Coturnix japonica: one gene and its partner. The protein of the gene in region 2 purifies or fractionates together with the protein of the main gene of each other region. This does not show direct contact. Links are inferred from orthologs where the notes say so. Each region holds a gene or a part of one and is shown on either strand. Other genes may lie near its edges.

The links.
Region 1: the proteins of UBE4B (region 2) and UBL7 purify together in Homo sapiens (affinity purification with mass spectrometry; 3 studies listed by BioGRID and IntAct, counting the BioPlex papers as one, with this or other methods). This does not show direct contact. The link is inferred for Coturnix japonica from reciprocal best matches to the Homo sapiens genes UBE4B and UBL7.

What each region holds. Positions count from the first base shown.
Region 1 is NC_029525.1:1,829,023-1,839,065, forward strand, and holds UBL7 (ubiquitin-like protein 7), read left to right. Parts: upstream 1-3,888; 5' UTR 3,889-3,964; coding exon 3,965-4,148; intron 4,149-4,449; coding exon 4,450-4,569; intron 4,570-5,231; coding exon 5,232-5,314; intron 5,315-5,434; coding exon 5,435-5,519; intron 5,520-5,961; coding exon 5,962-6,019; intron 6,020-6,526; coding exon 6,527-6,660; intron 6,661-7,049; coding exon 7,050-7,099; intron 7,100-7,247; coding exon 7,248-7,415; intron 7,416-7,545; coding exon 7,546-7,668; intron 7,669-8,075; coding exon 8,076-8,213; 3' UTR 8,214-8,629; downstream 8,630-10,043. Other genes in the region: actin, cytoplasmic type 5, read left to right, coding at 1,815-2,945.
Region 2 is NC_029536.1:3,055,095-3,064,966, reverse strand, and holds the start of UBE4B (ubiquitin conjugation factor E4 B), read right to left. Parts: upstream 5,887-9,872; 5' UTR 5,553-5,886; coding exon 5,529-5,552; intron 1,915-5,528; coding exon 1,728-1,914; intron 1-1,727. Other genes in the region: RBP7 (retinoid-binding protein 7), read right to left, coding at 8,042-8,092, 8,452-8,553, 8,816-8,994, 9,279-9,351. UniProt on the Homo sapiens protein: Ubiquitin-protein ligase that probably functions as an E3 ligase in conjunction with specific E1 and E2 ligases. May also function as an E4 ligase mediating the assembly of polyubiquitin chains on substrates ubiquitinated by another E3 ubiquitin ligase.

The DNA of each region.
Region 1 (10,043 bases), on a different chromosome or scaffold from region 2:
TGCTTCTTTGCTCAACTCTTTCATCCCTGTGCTACCCAGCAGCTCGTCACCAGCATGAAAAACCTCCTCTTTTTTTATCTCACTCAATCATACGACAGCTTGCGAGTGCAACAACAGAGAGTGGATTAGCAGTCAGCAGCAACAAGGCATTACCTGGCAGCTGAATGCAACCTCAGGTTTCTCAGGCACAATGCAGCACCTGGCCCAACCCCACGCTCGTCTCCAGCAAAGCCACCAGGCGCATGTTGCAAGAGGAACCATAAAGGGGGGTGCAGCCTCATGGTAACGAGTGAGGCGAGCAAACACAGCTCGGGTGCAGCACGCCCTGGTATGCGGCCGCCCTGAGCGTCCCCGACCTGTGACAGGTTGGAGCAAGATTTATGCAGAAATAAGGGCTCGGAACACTGCACCAACCTCGGGAGCTGGAGGCTGGATGGGGAAACACGCCCTAAGCAAGCAGCTAAGTTACAGGGGGAAACAGGAGGCTTTAAGGCGAGAGGGAGACGCGGATCGGGTGCTATATAATGGGGAGGAAGCCGGGGAGGGCTGCGGCGTGGCAGCACCGCGAGCTTTCACGCCCCATTTGCGGCTATTTACCGACTTCCCGGCGCTCCGCCGGCCGAGGTGGGGGGGTCTGATTATCAGGCCCCGACACGCCGCCCTTTGTAAGGGGGCAATAGGAGCTCTTTAACTCCATCCCCTCCTCAGAGCGTCCCAACCAACCTCTACCAACAAAGCTGGGGCGGCACAACGAGCCCCGGGCACCTCAAAGCCCGGATCCCAACCCCTCAAAGCACCGATTGGGGCCGGGACGGAGCGGCCCACAGCCCCTATTCCCCCCCACAGCCCCTATTCCCCCCCACAGCCCCCTCTGCCCCCCCACAGCCCCTACTCCCCCCCACAGCCCCTGCTCCCCCCCCCACAGCCCTTCACACCACAACGGCCGCTGCCCTCCACCCCCGTACCCCCATTACCGGCCTCAGAACGGCCCTAACCGCCCCCCTCCCAGCTCAGAGCCTCCTGGCGAGGCTCGGTGCCCGTTACCTGCGGCAGGCCCCTGGTATCTGTGCGGTGATTGCCGGCCCGCTGTGCTGGCTCTGCCCGCAGCTCAGCCCGCAGCTCGGCCGCTGCCCGCCCCGGGCCGCCCCGCCTCAGCCCGGCCGGAAACGGCGCGAGGGGGGGGCGGGGCCAAGTACCGGAAGTAACGCCTCACTTCCGGGTACGGGCCCAGAGACAGAAAGGAAGGGCGAAGCCGGAAGTGGAGAGAAAGAGGCGGGAGGGAAAGGAGATAACGTTAGCCAATTGGAATGGAGAATTGGGAATTCACTTCCGGTTCCGGGGATATAAAAGAGGGAGCGCGGGGTGGGGCCGAGCATTCGCGGGTGAGACAGCATTGGGTGGGGTCGTGGTACAGGTGAGAGCTGAGGTGATGCCGGGCCTTTGCGTTGTGATTTGTGTTATAGCTGCTTTCTTTGTGCCTTTTACCTTTGGAAGTGTGGGGGAGGATGCTCCGTGCGGGGGTCGTCCTTTGTTCCCTTGGGTGTGGGAGGGAGGGGCTGCCTAACATCACTGAGGGGAGGGAGGAGGCCTTGGCGGGCCTGTGGCTCTTGGCATCCCTTTAGTGGAGGCCAAATAGCTGCTATGGCCATAGACCGTGCCCTTCTATCCCTATAGGGGCACGTTTCCTAGTCATCTCAGGGACGGTGCATTATCTCTTTATGTATTTCTAGTGCACGGTGTTGGATATCTGTCCCCTTGATGGCTTGTTTCTTAGTGTGATCACCTCTTTGTCCTCTTTCACCCCAGGCCTAATCATGGCAGATGAGGAAATTGCTGCCCTGGTGGTGGACAATGGCTCTGGTATGTGCAAGGCAGGCTTTGCAGGGGATGATGCTCCCCGGGCTGTGTTCCCTTCCATCGTGGGACGCCCCCGGCATCAGGGTGTCATGGTTGGGATGGGGCAGAAGGACAGTTATGTGGGGGATGAAGCCCAGAGCAAGAGGGGTATTCTCACCCTGAAGTACCCTATTGAGCACGGCATCGTCACCAACTGGGATGACATGGAGAAGATCTGGCACCACACCTTCTACAATGAGTTGCGTGTTGCTCCGGAGGAGCACCCCGTCCTGCTCACTGAGGCCCCGCTGAACCCTAAAGCCAACCGGGAGAAGATGACCCAGATCATGTTTGAGACCTTCAACACTCCAGCTATGTACGTGGCCATCCAGGCTGTGTTGTCTCTTTATGCCTCCGGTCGCACCACTGGCATTGTCATGGACTCTGGGGATGGTGTCACCCACACGGTGCCCATCTATGAGGGTTATGCTCTGCCCCATGCCATCCTGCGTCTGGACTTGGCCGGCCGTGACCTGACTGATTACCTCATGAAGATCCTGACAGAGAGAGGCTATAGCTTCACCACCACGGCTGAGAGGGAGATCGTCCGTGATATCAAGGAGAAGCTGTGCTATGTGGCTCTAGACTTTGAAAATGAGATGGCAACTGCTGCCTCCTCCTCCTCTCTGGAAAAAAGCTATGAGCTTCCTGATGGCCAGGTCATCACCATTGGAAATGAACGTTTCCGCTGCCCAGAGACTCTCTTCCAGCCATCCTTCTTAGGCATGGAGTCGTGCGGCATCCACGAGACCACCTTCAACTCCATCATGAAGTGCGACGTGGACATCAGGAAGGACCTGTATGCCAACAACGTCATGTCTGGGGGTACCACCATGTACCCAGGTATTGCTGACAGGATGCAAAAGGAGATCACAGCCTTAGCACCCAGCACCATGAAGATCAAGATCATCGCCCCACCGGAGCGCAAGTATTCAGTCTGGATCGGCGGCTCCATCCTGGCCTCCCTCTCCACCTTCCAGCAGATGTGGATCAGCAAGCAGGAATATGATGAGTCTGGCCCCTCCATCGTCCATCGCAAGTGCTTCTAGAGGGGCTGCTGGCAGTCACCCGGGGTGCCCCCACAATGGGGCAGGCGTGGGAGGAGGTGTTGCAGGCTTGTCCTTGGGAGCTCTCCCTTCAGCTTGGACCAGTATTGTTTGACTGTTACTTATGTTACGTTCTAATTTGTTGAGGTACTGAGTAGTAACATACAGTGTGCATTTAAATGGCCTTGCTCCAGTTCGGACCAGTTCATGACTAGAGAGAAACAGCAGCTGTGGTTCTGGGGCAGCAAGTAGATAAGGAGTTGTTCACGTTCCCTATGTTAACACTAACAGGATGCCACTAAAGTAGGTCCGTCACCTTTAGGTTTGTCACATCTGACTTGTTTGTAGGAAAGCAAATAAACTTAGGCTGAAAAGTATCCAGAGTCTTTTGCTTTCTTTCAGGGTGGGTGTGAGGGCTTAGACCCAGTGCTGGACTTGAGCTGTTTGCAGCAAACACAGTGACCCAATGCAAAGCTTGCAGTGTGAACCGGCTGCACGCAGACCATTTTAAGAGCTATTAAGGGTAAAACCTTGGCTGGTATGCAGCCCTTGCAGCCCTTCTGGACTTTCATGGTAACTTGGCTTTATTTAGAACCAATTCCTGTTGGAAAAGAGCGCTGGCACAGGTTTTGTGATGAGAGGAGCCTCTCCTTATTTGGGAGGGTGACAAGATGTGGCAGTAAGTGCCCAGAGCTGCTCAGCCTAAGGAATGGGGTCCCTCTTGCTGTAGCAAGCCGGCACCCAACACTCTCTTCACCCCCCCCCCCCTCCCCACGCCCCCATAGGAGGCAAGTGAGCCAGCGCTGCCGCCCTCCCCCTTTTAAACCCTCAGCCGGCCGCTCATTGGCTCGTTGTGCCACCTCGTCGGCAAGCCGGCCAATCGGTGGCGTCCTCTTCCCACACCAAGCAGACTACATTTCCCAATGCGCACCGCGCTTGAGGACTCACTTCCGTTTCCGGCGTGATGCAGGAAGAGAGACGCTTAATGGCGGCCTAGGCGGGTGGGTTGTGTGTGTTCGGAGATGGCCGTGTCCGAGTGGCACATCGCGGTGAAGCTGGCGGACCAGCCCTTGGCCCCCAAATCCATCTTACGGTTACCTGAGACCGAGCTCGGGGAGTGCCCGCTGGGGGGGTGCAGCATCTCCCACCTCAAGCAGCTGATCACCGGGAAACTGCAAGAGTCCGTCCCGGACCCCGAGCTCATCGGTAGGTGCGAAGGCTGCGGCCTAGTCCGGCCTATCTATTAGTGCTGCGGCCTGGTCAGGCCTCCTATTAGTGCTGCGGCCTAGTGCGGCCTCCCTGTTAGTGCTGCGGCCTAGTCCGGCCTCACTTAGTGCTGCGGCCTAGAGAGGGAGGGAGCAAGATGAAGGGAGGGAGCAAGATGAAGCTTTATGGCTCTTTGCATTGTGGTTTTCGTGTGTTGTGTTAAGCTGTGTGCATGCAGAGCAATGTCTTAAGGAGCACGGGCTCTTTCTGAGTGTGCTGTATGTGTTTGTTTTCTTTATAGATCTGATCTACTGTGGCCGTAAGCTGAGGGATGACCAGACGCTTGATTTCTATGGCATCCAATCTGGTTCCACCGTTCACGTCCTGCGCAAGTCCTGGCCTGAGCCTGATCAGAAACCAGGTGAGGAGGAGATGGTGCAGATTGCATTGAGCATGAGGAGCTGCTGCTCTGTTTCTAGGAGCACAGCATGAGGTTTGGAGGTGGAACTGATCTGCTTGTTTGCACTCAAAGCAGTTAATGGGCATTACTCTTATCTTGCTGATGTATGGAATGAAAAGACATTAAAGATCATCAAGTCCAGCTGCAAGCTGAACATCCCTTCTTTAAGTAGCTCTGATCAATCTTAGTGTTGCTAGAGAATCAGAATCCAAGTGTCTCATTAGTAGAGCCTTATGTGTGTCGGGCTATAGAGTCTTAGTGTTGCTAGAGAATCAGAATCCAACCATCTCATTAATAGAGCCTTATGTGTGTCAGGCTATAGAGTAAAAATGACCAGTTTTAGAATTATTTCAGTGTATTTCCTTTTATGTGTGTAGGAGTATATGCTCTTCTATGTCTGGAAGTTAGGAATGTGGCCATAGCCCTTGGTGGGCAGTTGCTTGTTAAGCTGGAGTAACAGCACTGGGACAGTTGTGATCTGTATCCTTCCTTCCAATTGAATTCAGGAGGACTAAAGAATCATTGTTGCTACTGCAGCTGGGAGGTACAAGGAGGGTGTAAAATGGCTTGTGAAGCTGACAGAGGGAGGAGCATGTTTTGATCTGTTCTTTTTCTTTCCTCAGAGCCAGTAGACAAAGTGGCAGCGATACGGGAGTTCCGTGTCCTTCACACAGCCCTACACAGCAGTCCTGCTTACAGAGATGCGGTGAGTGGGACTTTGTACATCACCACCTTGGTGTCTTTTATCTGACCCCCTCTCTAAGGAAAGACCCTCACTGAAACCTTGCCGTGTGACACTGCTGATTGATTCTGATTTCTCTTGCAGGTGTTCAAAATGCTGGGGAACAAGGAGTCATTGGATCAGATCATTGTTGCTACTCCTGGCCTTAGCAGTGACCCAGTTGCTTTGGGTGAGTCCAGGTGTTACTCAGAGGGCCTGGAGAAAGCCAGATGAGGATGGCTTTAAAATAAAGCAAATACAAGATAAGTTAAACACTGAATCCTTTCTGAAAGTGTTTAGTTTCTCATGTGGGGTGTGATCTCAATCTCATGCAGCCATCTGGGGTGAGCTGGGTGCCAGACTCGATCCTGCCTTAAAGTAGAGGCTGCCTGCACTGAAACACAGCCTGTGGGATCTGCTGGGGAAGCCCTGTGTCTGGTGGGTGTGGCTGTGATTTAGTCTGTCTAAGAAGGCACAAAAGGTTTCTGAGAACAATAATAGAGTATTTCTGGTGTCTTTTCATGACTCGTTTCCTGAAAAACAACTAATTTGCTTTTTTTCCCATGGTTGGACTGGCTCCTATATGTCTCGTATCCTGTCTCTTATTGGTCATGTTTCCTGGTCTCTCCCAGGCGTCCTGCAGGACAAGGATCTCTTCTCAGTGTTTGCAGACCCCAACATGTTGGACACGTAAGTTCATATAAGCTGGCACGGTGACTAAGCAGCTCCTTTGTTGTAATCCTGTATTGGTCACTTCCCTCTGGGTGGGAAAAAGCATTCTGCTGCTGTCTGCCAGTACAGTTACACCAGGACAGAGATCTGAGGAGGGTCTAATCTTCCTTAGCATTAGATGCTTCAACATAGTATCTGTATAACATGTATCTGTTGACATAGTGGAAGCAGGCTCATTCTCTCCTCCAGATCTGGTAGCTCACAGCAGAGAGTTGCTCCATGAGAGCATGTGGGAGATGTGTACAATGGGAGGGCCAGCATGGGATCAAGATGGATCCCTGACTTGTCTGGCTCTGTGGGGAGGTGTTTGTTGTTGGATAGCTAAAGGTAATATCAGATCGAGATGGTGTTGGCTCAACTAGTGAGAGTGGTTCTGCCATTCTTGCTGTAAGTTCACTAGCATCAAGCCATTCCTTCCTTAGTTTCTCTGTATACACAATTTGTTCTTCCACCCTGTCTCTCCAGGTTAATACCGGCTCACCCTGCACTTGTGAATGCCATTGTCCTTGTCCTGCACTCGGTGGCAGGCAGCACCCCACTCCCAGCCCCAGAGACATCCTCCCGTGGCATGTCCTCTGGCTCCTACCGTGACATGCCGGGTACGTTCAGCCTGTGGCCATGCAGATGTGAGAGGGAGCTGCAGAGATGATGTGCTGCAGGATCTGTTACAGGCAAATCAGTATTTTACTGGTGCAGGGATGAAATAGAAAAGTGGTCTGGGCACCTGAGCTTGTGGTTTGACAGAATACACTGAGAGAGGCTTATCTGGTGTAGTTCAACCTCAGGGCCTCTCTGAGCTGTGTGTGTACCACCACTGTTGGTAGCAAATAGATGTGGCCTCTGTTTTGCACAAGTGATGGGCCTGAGCTGTCTTGTGTTGACCTGTTGCAAGTGAACTTGTTAGTGCTGAGCTCGGCTGTGCGAGCAAAGCCTCCACTGGATTCTCATCTGGTGTTCTGCATCTTGTTGAATCATCTCTCTATCACAGGTGGCTTTCTGTTTGAAGGTCTCTCTGATGATGAAGATGACTTTCACCAGGTAATTCACAGGCTGGATTGGGTGGAACAACTATTTTGGATTTGTGGTAATGGTTTTAACTTTGTAGCTCTTAAAGTCTCTAAAGCACATGAGCCACATGGTAATGGGACGTGTCCACTGACAGCAGATGCCTGTTTTCTCCATGCAGAGCACAAGGTCAACACCATCCAGCAGCACTTCTGGTTCTCGCCCAGCTTCCCTTGGTTACTCTGGGGCTGCTGGACCACGACCAATTACCCAGAGTGAGCTGGCAACTGCATTGGCACTGGCCAGCACACCAGAGAGCAGCTCCCACACACCAACTCCTGGTACCCAGGTACAGCACCAGCTGGGGCTGTCCTCCTGCCCTGTAAAGCCAGCACTTGACTGAGTGCAAGCCCTGTGTGGATCTGGGTTCCTGCAGCAAGTGCTCTTCTGAGTTGTATACAACTTGTCTCTCTCACTAGGGTCACTCCTCTGGGACCTCCCCTATGTCATCCAGTGTCCAGTCAGGAACACCCATCACCAACGACCTCTTCAGCCAGGCCTTGCAGCATGCCCTGCAGGCCTCAGGGCAGCCCAGTCTGCAGGTCAGTATCTAGGCCTCCTCTTCTTTTGGGAACCTGTGAGAAAGCTCCTTATCACACTCAGCACTGCAGGGTAGAGGTGGCTCTTCCAGCTATCTCCTGTGGCTGGACTTTAGGTTGGAAGGAGTGTGACTGGTGAAGAGCTTTTTTAGGTGGCATGATAGATGTGTGCAGAAGGACTGGATGGAGGTGGGAGAGAGGGAAATGGGAGAGGTGTGCTGGTGGGTTTAGGGTGTTACCAACAGGACTTAAAACTTTCAAGACCTGTTTGCACACTTGGAATTGTGCTTGTGATCTAGAGAGATGGGAGTAACCAGCATGGTGGAGTGGGCTTTGGAGAAGGCTGTTTTTTTTTTTTACTGCTTGGACTCTTGCACTTACCCTTAGCTTCTTTTGTTTCCTGTTTGTAGAGCCAGTGGCAGCCACAGCTTCAGCAGCTACGAGACATGGGTATACATGATGATGAACTAAGTCTCCGGGCCCTGCAAGCTACTGGAGGGGACATTCAGGCTGCCTTAGAGCTTATCTTTGCTGGTGGGGCTCCGTAGCTCTGGGCAGGAGGGGCTGGACCACCATGTGGCACTGCTATTCCTTGGTCTGGGACTCAACCCCAAAGCTCTCTAGGGAATGGAGCAGCTGAAGTGGCTGCTTCTATCCGTGCAGGTGGGTTGTGGGCTCCTGTTTGAGAGCACGGGGCAATCTGAGGACAGTTCCTCCAGCTCCTGTGATCTCTCTCCAGCCTTCTCCTCATTCTGACCACCATTATTGAGACCTCAAAGCCTTGATCAGCACGGATTAAAACGCAACTGTGTGTGCTGGGAAGATGTAGCACGGTTCTGCAGTTAGATCTGGTGACCTGCTGTACTATCGCCTGCTGTTTCATTCCTGCCCACCTGGCACGTCTCCTTTTGCTGTTGTGGTCTCTCCCTGTGTTTGACTGTATTAAATGGACTGTATCCACTTGCCTGTTGTTTGTGATCTGTGCTGTCTTAGATTCCACATCTTCAAGGCAGCACGTGTTTGTTGCATCGCAGCTGGACGTGGTCTGCCTGTTATAGGACTGTTATTTCAGCAGAGGGCACTCCTCTTGCAGAACAAGCTGCTGGCTATGGCCATGAGCTGCCCGAAGACCACTGTGTTGGGATTGAAGCTGATCTTCCCAGTCTTCCTCCTTTAATTAGGCCTGTAAAGAACTCATTGTGCTGTGGATGCTTGCTGAGAAGGTGGCCCAAAGAGCATCTCGTCTCCTTTTCAGCAGCAATGTTTCTATATTCTACTGGGCAAAGCTTTTTGCAGTGCTGCAGGAACAAAGGTGCAGGAGTTCACGGCCACCACAAGGTGACAGTAGAAATGTAACAGGGTCGAGGCAGGTGCTGAAGATTGCAGGGTACTGCTAATGACTGAATGGGAGAGGCACATTGTTCTGAGCTGGTTTGTTGGGTTGTAGTGAATATTTTCCAATGTATCTTCTAGTTCTGGGTGTCACGTGTGAAGTTCTCAGGAGCTGCCTACAAAGGCAATCAAATGCTTGTAATTATTTGGTGGAAGCTGAGATGAATTGGAGCCAGAGGTAGAGCTGGCGTCGCTCTGAATGTACCATCAAGACTGACAGAGCATGAAAATAGGAGCTGGTTCGTCTGAAATGCCACCATGTGACACTAGGGAAGCTCAGAGCAGAAAATGGTCCCTTACCTTCAGGCTACCTGCGTTCCCCTCTAATTCCTTTCAAAGCACAACTGGTGTCTGCTGATACGATCTCAGCAATGGCACAGCAAATGCTGGATTGTTCTGTCCAGGATGGCTTATTGACTGCTAGAGTTTAATCCTGTCTGGAGGATTAAAGCTCCCAGGAGGGGAAGAGACTGCTTTTATTTTTCAGTATGCAGTGGATAAGATCTGATGAGTATCAGAAATCTCGTGACTTTCTTAACTTGATACACCCTTCCTGGTTACTTTCCTCATTACCTGCTTTGGAAACCTATTCCAGATGATGACTGTCATTTGACACATACAGAAACCGATGACTTTATTCCCATCCCTGCTGCCTCCATTCCTTGCTTTGCTAGGGATGGGTCACATATGTAGAGCACCCTCCCTCCCTTTTCTGCCCTGCTGTCAGCCCTCAATCCTCCCAGGGCTAACTGAGGATTAGCTGTATCGCAGATGTCGTGGCGATGCTGAAGTTGGGAGCCATAAAGCTCCCCCAGACCTGCATGGGGCTGGCAGGGCTTGCTTTGGGTCTGCTTGCTTGTCTGCGCCCTGTCAAGTCTCAGCTCAGACTGGGAACAGCTTGGGGGTATGGGTGTCCCCAGATGGTCTTTCTTTTGTCTTCCCTTGTTCTTAGGATTTATCACTTTGACCAATGTGTAATCTTAAGT
Region 2 (9,872 bases):
AAAAAAACCAACAACCATAAATGCAAGCACAGTAGCATGCAGAAGTTATGAAGATCACAGGCCCAGTATGTGGGGCTGTCATTGAAACACTATTTCTAGGATCTCCAAAGTACTTTAAAAATGTCACATGAAATAATTGAGCACACATTCCATGGAATTGATGTATGAGTCTGATCCCATACAACTTCATATAAAAATTGATGCTTGCAAGGACATTGTTCTGCTGGGGCTGTTTTCTGTATGTCCAAATAAATTAAAATCCTCTGCAGTCATTTTAGTCTACTACTGCAAAGGAACTCCTGCAAGGCACTCAGTGTTAGCCAAGTCCTCATTTACGCTAAATAAATTCAGCAGATAATCAGTTACAAACACTTTCTTCTTGATTTATTCCCCCAATTTAACCATATCCCTGATTGTGATGTGCAAAGAAATACACATTACTGAATTGCTGCAATGACTGGCACTACAGGAAACAAGCAATCCACTGCCTGGATACCTTCTGTTTCTTGTGATCACAGTTTTATCTGTGCAATTAGCAACTGTCCAATGCAGACAGATGAATCCACTTACAACAGAAGTCTCTGAGGTCTTGACTGTCCAACAACTTCTAACCAGAATAAACCAGTCTGCCAGATCATGAACATTTCTACCTTCAGGTACGTGCTTCCACACCTCCAGTTTTGTTGGCATTAGCGCTTATACAATTGTGTGTGTGCTTGAAAACTAACTAACATTTTTTGCGGGTTAGTGTCCACCTGGATTAAGTCCTCACCACACATTTGCTACTGACATCAGGGGGAGAGGCAGAGAGAAAGGCTCCTTTCAGCAAGAGTCAGACCTAAGAGGGATTAAAATAGTTCCGTAACCACAGGCTGAGTGAACATGGTAAGTGAACTCTGTACTATTTGCAAAATAAATAAAGACATCTTTGCTTCTGGGTTGCTGCCTATGATCACGACGACAATACGCAGTGTTAAATTCCAACTGTACCAGATTTGCCCAGGAAATGCTTTTGGTAGCTTTTCTCTGGCCTGCTCTGGATACAAGGCAACAAAATACGCAGAAAGCAGCCCCTTCCAGACACCTCACACCCTCCCAACCTTGCATACTTTCTGTATTTGAATTTAATAGACAAGGAGCTTCATATGGTCTGAAGTAACTGCTATTTGTAAATATCCTACTTGTCCTCACTGCAGTTAATACTGGAATTGGGAAAACTTTCATCTTTTCAAAAATACTGCAACACAAAGAGAGCAGCACTTCATTCTCACATTGATAATGCACAGTCACAGCCCACTACTTTTAATTGTGCCAAACGCCAGTAATTAAAGATCATAAATGAACATGGCAAAAATGAACGTAGGAGTCAATCAATAAAAATTCTCTTGCGAGACTGAAATCACTTTTTATCAAGGAGAAGAGGCTGGCTTTCCTACTGTACTTCTTGCCAATAGAAAAGTGCATTACATTCAACCAGCTTTGGTGACTTCAAATATTCTCCTTAGTTTTACTGATGCCCAGAGAAGAATTTTAACAATCCATTTCTATTTGGTAAAATGAAGACTTGAGCACCTTCAGTGACCAATTCAGAATGTTCCTTTCAGAATGTCATTTTTACGACAGCAGAAATAGAGGCAATAACAGCATTCATGCTCTGAATGTGAGGGGTCACACAATAACACCCGACACACAGGCAATAATCGTTGCTGCCCCAAAGGCCAGCCTACCTGATGCACCTATTGGTGAGGTAGCTGGGGTCATGCTGTGGACATTTAGGCCGAGACTATGGGATGGCCCAGGGGTTGGAGCTGCTGCAGGTGGCCCAGGTGGGGTCTCTCTCTGCGGCGATGTGAGTGGTGTGCTGGGCTGGGACGATGGTCCCCCTGCCAGCCGGGCAAGGCGCCTTCGACGGATCTGCACAAAGGACATCAAACAAACAGAAAAACTGATTTGCACATACATTCAAACATACTCCATAGTTTTCCATCCCTGGGTCTCCTAAATGGCACAGTATTCCCTAAATGGCACTGGAGAATTCTGCGTCCATCCCTCTAACAGTTGTGTAAGACCGGTTTAATATTTACTGCTCAGCAGTTTCAAAACCTCTAACACACCTCCTGATTTCTTTTGGCATTTGATTAAACAAACTGTGTTAATCTGATAAAAGGGCTAAAAGGAACACGACCTTTACCTTCATCTCACACCACACAACCCCTAATAACAAAATTCTGCTTAAGATGATCCAATTGAATATTGTTAAGAGAAGACTGTATGCAATACTATCTGAGACAGTTCTGCAACACTAGAAATCTACCCTACTTGTCACCTGCTGGGCAGGAGCATCTTGAGAGGCAAATGAAGACAGCCAATAGCAACCTGCCATTACCTGGAGCAGTCTGACCAAATGGAGTTTGGTCAGTTTTCACATTACTAGTAGGGCAGAGCAGTATTTGCCCTTGGAAAACTATTATGAACATATTTATCAAAGCTTGTTCATGACCACATGATGCTGATAAAAGATAAAGCTCACAAAACTTGTATTTGAGAGCCATGAAACCTTAAGCAAAAAATGAAAATACAGAAGGAATTATCCATAATTACAGGCTGCCTCAGAGAATCTGATACAAAAGCTTCTGGTACAAAGAAAACAAGCATGGAGTAAAAGCATCTGAGGGTGTCTGCTCCCGACACAAGTGAGCTATTCATGTTATTCCCTATTGGTATTGATATCCCCAAGCACTGGTGTAATTCCTGTTTGCATTTCTGCTCGCAATCCTGATGAATTGCTGGGGAAGTTAAAGAGTGAAGAAAAATCTGTGTCAAGTCCATGTCTAGGAGACATCGCTGCAGTCACATAATGGTCTGTGAAAACTACTCCAAGAGGAGGAAGAACAGATCAAATTAAATCAGACGTCAGATTTGGAACTGTATCAGGAGAGAGAGGCACAGACAAATACACCCAAAGCTTCATGTTAACCGAGAAATGTATACACTTATTCTCAAACACGGTCAGACCTTGATGATTCAATCGAGGCCACATGCCTCACAAGGTTTGATTTGCACAAATCTTCTCTACATCACCTCCCAGCTTCAAGCAAACAAGTGAGTTGTTGGTTAATAAGCTGGTTGTGCCACTCTACACTTCTTCACCTACAGCAGCAGGCAATGCCACCACCAGAGCTATGGCACAACCAGCTGTGGTCAATGTTATTCAAACACGAGGTCACTCATTTCACCTCTAGTCCATGAAGCACTGACCCTTCACACAGACCAAAGCTCCAGACCGTAACCTGCCCTGAAGAAGTTTCTGAAGAAGGGAACGTAACAAAGAAACCTCCTGGACATTGGGATGCTTTTAGATAAAATTCAGCAATTCAAACCAACCCCAGAATTTCACTACCCATTTAGGAATGACAAATCATCAACCAACGCCAATATCAAAAGAGTATTATACCAAAAGAGTATACCAAAAGAGACGCATTTCTCTGACTGATAAAGAACCAGGTTTGGCTGCTCTGATGCCCCAGGTCATCATAATCCTCTACGTTTTCAAGGAAACTTGAAATTTGATCTGAAAATTAAGAGACTTAAGTGGGGAAAAAGGGGCAAAGAAACAACGATGCTATGCTAGAAAGGCAAAGCCACAAGCTGAAACAGAAGCATGGAAGGACAGCATGGAACTGATGGATTCCTTCTGTCTGGTTCATCCACTTGTGCCTGGACACTGCATGGGCCAGGATGTGCAATGGGGACGGCACAGTGCCATGGGCCTCGTGCTGGGCCTGCAGGACGCAGTGTTTGCACAGCGCTGGGCTGCAGCCCGCTGCCTCCACGTAGCACAAAGAGCGTGTCAGAGCTGCAGGAGTTCAAAGTCAAAGCGACCCGGCTTCACTTCGGATTGCATGACTAACCACAGCGCCACGGGGTAACACGTGGGGATTTTGTAGATTAATTATTTTATTAGGAGCGTTTAAGATACCCTCCACAACGCCTAACCCTGCATTTCAGCAGCACTCCTTGCAACAGCAACCTAAGACAAGCGCTGTGTCATTGCATTGCCCAACAAGAAGTTGTTTGGTACCAATTACTACATCAGCACAGTTTGTTCCATAAGCTACCTTCCCTCCACCATAACACAGAGTTAAGAATCTAATTGGTTGAATGGAAAAGGTTATGAATCGTGTTATTAATTAGCACAGTTCTTACTTGATACATTCTTGGGGTAGTAACATTCAGAAATATATTTGTGATCTTAATGGGCTTCCAAAAAGCTGTTAGCTGGACATGTTGCCACATCCAATGTAAAAATAGCAGCCTGCTCAAGGCAGCCGATAACTGAAGCACACAGCAGAGCTGCTCCCTTGGGCTCACACACCTCAGCTCAGATTTATACATAATTCCACAGCCAACATCTGTTTCAGTAGGAACTGCTTCATCAGCTTCTAAAGGAAAATGTTTCTACTTCTGTAGTCAGAGAGAAATCCCACCTCGGTCCAATAAAGTGTAATTGGAATTCTTTGCAGCTTGTAATTTGTATCCTTACAACGTGTTAACCAAGCTTAAGGCATGCTTCATTTCCTGGGGATGTTGCTCATGGTCCATTGGCAGACAGCACAACTTTGAGCTACTCAACAGCCATACACAAGACACCAAATTCACCTCATTCTGTCCCACTTCACGCCATACCTGGCTTGACTTTGCTATTTCCTATTCAGTTCCCAATCCTCATGATGTTATCTGGCACTTACACTAAAATAAACACCAAAAAAAAGATTTTTGCTTCTCCCAGATCCCTGATGATTTTGGTATGGGCTGTAATGAAGAGCACCTTTGGTGCTTTAACAAAGTAAACCCAGAGAAAGCAGTGGGAAGTTGACCTACAACCTACAGACCCAACACCATTCAACTGTATTCATCTCTGGTCTTTGGAAGATGAAATCTGTTACCTGCACATTTTATACAGCTCAGTATAAGGAGACAACCTCACCTCCAGGAGCCTGGCAGCTAATTTCAAGTGCAGCTACTTTTCTCACCTGACAGGTGAGGGGTTTTCAGACAGATCTCACACACAACATGACACAGAAGCACCTCAGTGAGACACAAACACCCCAGTGAGACACAAACACCCCAGTGAGGATGCTGCTTTCTGTACCACCTAACTCCGCTCTGGTGGAGCATTAAGAAACAACAAAGCGGAGGTGTACAGGAGTCCTCACACAGACACACTCCGGCTCCTCCATGGCAATAAGAAGCAGCTGCGCTATTCCCTCAGCAGGCCCGGCCTTAAGGGCTGCAACCCAGTGACCGTGAGGAAACCAAACGGCACCAGGCACACGGTCCCCACACACACCTCGCTCCTCAGCTCTGACAAAGCGATATTTTAAGCGTTTCGCTACGGATAAAAGAAGGATTCGATCACACCCATGAGGCGCACGGATTGCCGGCGCTCAGCACAAAGGAGCGCTCCAAACGAAGCAGCCGGGACGGCAGCACCGCAGGGCCCCGCTCCCCCCGGCACTCCGCCTCACCTCGTCCGCGCTCAGCTCCTCCATCGCCTTCCTCTTAATGGTGAACGCGAACGGAGGGCGGGTGCCTTCCTCCGCCCCGCCGACGGGCAGCTCCTCGGAGCGCTCTCCGGCCGCCTCCGCGCCTCACAAGGGCATCGCCGGGGCGGCCTCGCCTCGCCCAACAGCAGCCGACCGCTCCGCCGCCCCCGGCCCAAAGCCCGCAGCCCACCCGCTCTTCGGCTCCCTCCGCTCCCTGTGAGGAACCTCCCGCGTCCCTCGGCCTCAGCTCCCGCCCGTTGCCCCGCGCAGAGATTATTCATCAAAACAAGAGGGCGGCAGCGGCGGCCATCTTGGGGGTGGGTCACATGAGGCCTCGGAGGGAGCCGGGCATGACGGGCCGAGCGGGGCGGCGGCCAATGGGGAAGGGAGAGAGGCGGAGGGATGGGCGGGGATGGCGGCGCCTTGGGAGCGGGGCGGCATGAAGGGCGGGAAGGAGCTGAGGGGATGATGGCCGTGAGGGGATGGCCGTCCATCCGCCCGCCCGCAGCTGGGAGGATGGAGTCTGCCGCCGTACTCCTGCCCGGGTCCTTTGAACCTGAGGTATTTTGATTTCTTTCTGTGGGACAACACAAGCTTTTTCTGCATCGTGTGCTTTTGTTATGCCTCGAAGTGATGCTCTTGTGTAAAATATTCTTTTCCTTTTCTCACGGGTGCCCGCTGCTGTGAAATACAGGTGGGGGATCATGAGGGAACTACTCACAAATGTCTTCTAATAAGACTTAATAAGTTAACTTCTAAGTTAATGTTTAGGTGGACACTTCTGAGTAAAGCTCAGCAGCCCTCATGGTGTCTGTGATCTTGCTCCTCACACCTCCATGTATCTATCACCTGTGTGACTCTTCTTCCTCATGTATTTAATCGTGTCCTATAGAATGTGAATTCAAAAGAATAGCTGAGATTCTTTTGAATTCCCACCGTCTGTTGTGGCTGTAAGGTCCCAAAGGGGCACACAGCCTTTCACCCACCCACACACTGCTCTGTGCAGACAACACATCTTAAAGTCCCATCCTCAGCACTGGCACTGCCTGATAAACAACGAAAGGTTGCTGGAAGGGTTTCACCATCCGAGCTGTGGTGAGATAATGGAGCAGAAACACATTAGAATAACACCATTCCAATGGCTTCCTGGTGAGTTCTGTTCCTGTCCTTGGGTTCTGGAGCTGTCAGGGGGTTCTGGTTCACTTTCTTAGCAAAGAAAGTCCTTTCTTTTCCTTCTTTTTTTCTTTTCCTTCTTTTTCCTTTTCCTTTCCTTTCTTTTAAGCTGTGTGACTTGAACACATCTGCAGTATTTAACACTGGAGGTGCTGCTGTTGAGTATCACTACAGTTTAAATAAGAATGCATTTTGTTGCAGTGGTGCCATCTAATGGAGTAGCAAAGTCTGTGACTGCAGAAGTGTGCTGGTAGAGGTGACAGAGAATGTTTGCTCTCCGTGTTATTTGTATTAGAGTTCTATGGTATCATAAATCTCGTTTCCAACCAAATAAAAGCAGCACTCGGTTCCAAAGTGAATTCACCACTGGAATTCAGAAAATGAATTCCATGTTTTACTCCTGGTCCTTCAAATGTCCCCACCCTGACCCTAAGGTGCACTGGGATTTCATGTTTTGGAAGCCAGCCACCTTACTTTTAGAGTCCCCTGGGATACTGATCTAATTAAAAGCTCTCCCAGCTTTAACAGAGCTGACAGCGAAGAAGAGTTACCTAAATAATGAGTTATATTATTTATCTGTGAGAGCATCAAGGATAAGTTGAGTTTCTGTGAAGAAGAAAATGCTAATTAAATCTAGCTGAAGCTCAGTAATTTGGATTAAACTCTAGCAATAGTGCTGTTAGTGTTACCCAGGAGATGTAGCAGCTTATTTCACACATATAACAGGTTGGTCTGGCTGCTTGTTTACATGAGGTAGAATATAACCTATTTCTCATTGCTGACCTTGTGGATGTTGCACAGAAAAGTATGTTAGCAAATGGAACAAATACATACAAATAAATCTTAGCAGCATTATTTTTATTCTTTGTATGTGCTGATAGCATCCAATTATTTCACATACTGACATTTTACTATTTACTGAAATAGTAAAGTTACATCCTTGGTTGTAATCTTAACTTTACCATTCCTGGAGTCACACAGGTTTAAGCTGTCCTTCCTGTTTTGTTTGATCTTGCTATACCCTTAGGGAAGGGGAAATGGTCCTTGCTGTGATCTGGGTGACTAGTTAATTACAGAGCATCTTATTGCTTATGATTTGGGATTTTTCCCCCCTCCAAAACTCATTCATAAGACAGGTATTTAAGATGGTTTGTTGTGTTTATTAGCAAAAATCGGGTCTTTAACACTGCTAACAACAAATAATATTTCCTGAGCCAGAAACATCAGCCATTTAGGTAGAAAGAAGTCAGGTTTTGCGTTTCCAGTTATCACATGGCCTCCTGTATAGAGCTGTCTTTCCGTGTTGGAACCAATGCTGATATTTAAGCTCTCTTGAACACTTGCTTACATACTTGATTCTCACAACGAAGCTCCTACAAAACAAACAAACAGAAAAGTAACCAAAGGAACCATCTCCAAAAGAGAAGACAGATCTTCTGCCATGACCACCGACCATCCCTGAGCTGCTGTGCTAAGTTATGCATAACATTCTGCATTTGGCTGTGCAAGATGAATAAGGATGGAACAGTGAAATTATGCCAAGGGTTGGACTTGATGATCTCTAGAGGTCTCTTCCAACCCCTGCAATTCTGTGATGCAGCTGAAAGCAAAACGTGTTCCTTATGTTCTATTACATGTACTCTTGAGGTGGAAGACAACTTGCACATTATGACTACAATATAAGTTGCATTTTCTTTGTCACCCAGAGACAATTCAGAAGTAAATCAAATACCAAATGGAGGTCATCTCCTTCAAGCCAGTGAGTCCAGCCCCTGTTCTTCTTCTCCCCAGCCTGGACACAGATAAGTTTGTCATTGTCCCAGGTAACCAGGCTCTGTTAAAAAGAAACCAAGTGTTTGTTCATGTCACCTCAGTTCTGAAATCTATCTAGCAGGCAGTATCCTTTCTTCCTTAATAAAATGTAACTAAATTAAATACTGTTGCTGAGGGAATGTGAAAATTTAATCACTAACTCAGGCTCTTGCACCTATACTGTGTTAAAAATAGTATTACTGAATCAATTTCAGCTCAGCAAGGCTCACTACAGCATCTTCCTTCTGTAAGAACACATTGATTTCTGAATTATTCAGTCTTACCTTGCATTTTCTGTTATCCAGGCCTTTATTGTCTTCTTCAAACTCTTCACCGATTTTAAATTGGAGCATGTAGTCTCTGAACGTGCTCGTGGTATGGATGGAAAAGGAATCACCATCCTGTTTGATCACTTTCTGAGGCTTCAGCATTTTTGCTATCTTACGTGTTGCAAAGTCAATACCTTTGACAAAAGAAAGAAAACACTGAGTCGTGCTGCTCACTGGCTGTTCTGACAGCTGGGCTTTACCTGTATTGCTTCCAGAAGTATTTCTGCTATATAAATTTGGTTTTGCTGTTCTTGTTTTGGATTTCCACTCCCCCAGAGGTGTTACATATTACACAGTTTAGGCATGTTCTTGAACATTTGGTCTCCTCCCAGACCCCAGTATCTAGGTTTTAGAAGAATTAAAATGTAGGAGGCCTCTCAAAGGGGAAGAGAGAATAGGATTAGGTCTTTTCACCTACCTAAAGCTGTCATGTAGCCTTCAAAGTTGTCATTACTGACAAGGTTCCAGGTTCCACTGAAATCCACAGGCATTGCTACTGTGGGAAGGAGATACAGTCAACCCCTGGCCAAAAAGCAGAAATTAAGAAACAGATTTCCAACCAGGCCTTATATGAGGGACTGTGGGTGGGATCATGTCTGAGAGCATTGATGGTGGAGGGGAGGGGTGCTGCTGCTGAGCCAATAGGAAAGAGAATATTTGTAGATGAGCTTTGGCTGGGTTAGAGGGAAAAGTTCACGGTTTCCGAAATCTTTGTATGGAGCAAATGTTATTAACTCAAGAGTCACAGCACAAACCAGAAACTGGTTTAAAAGGTTTCTATCTTGTGTCTTTTAAAATGTATCATGGACATGATTTGTCATTCCTAAGATTCCATGTGTGTATATTCACTCTGAGGGTTTGTGATTTGAAATGTAGATATTTTTTGAAAAGGAGATCTGCCCATGAAGTGGTATCAGTAAGTCTTAAAGCTGTAATTCAGAGTAATGGTAGTAAGCAATATATCTCATCATTTGTGTCTGTAGTGAATAGTAAGCAGCATTATTATCTAGCG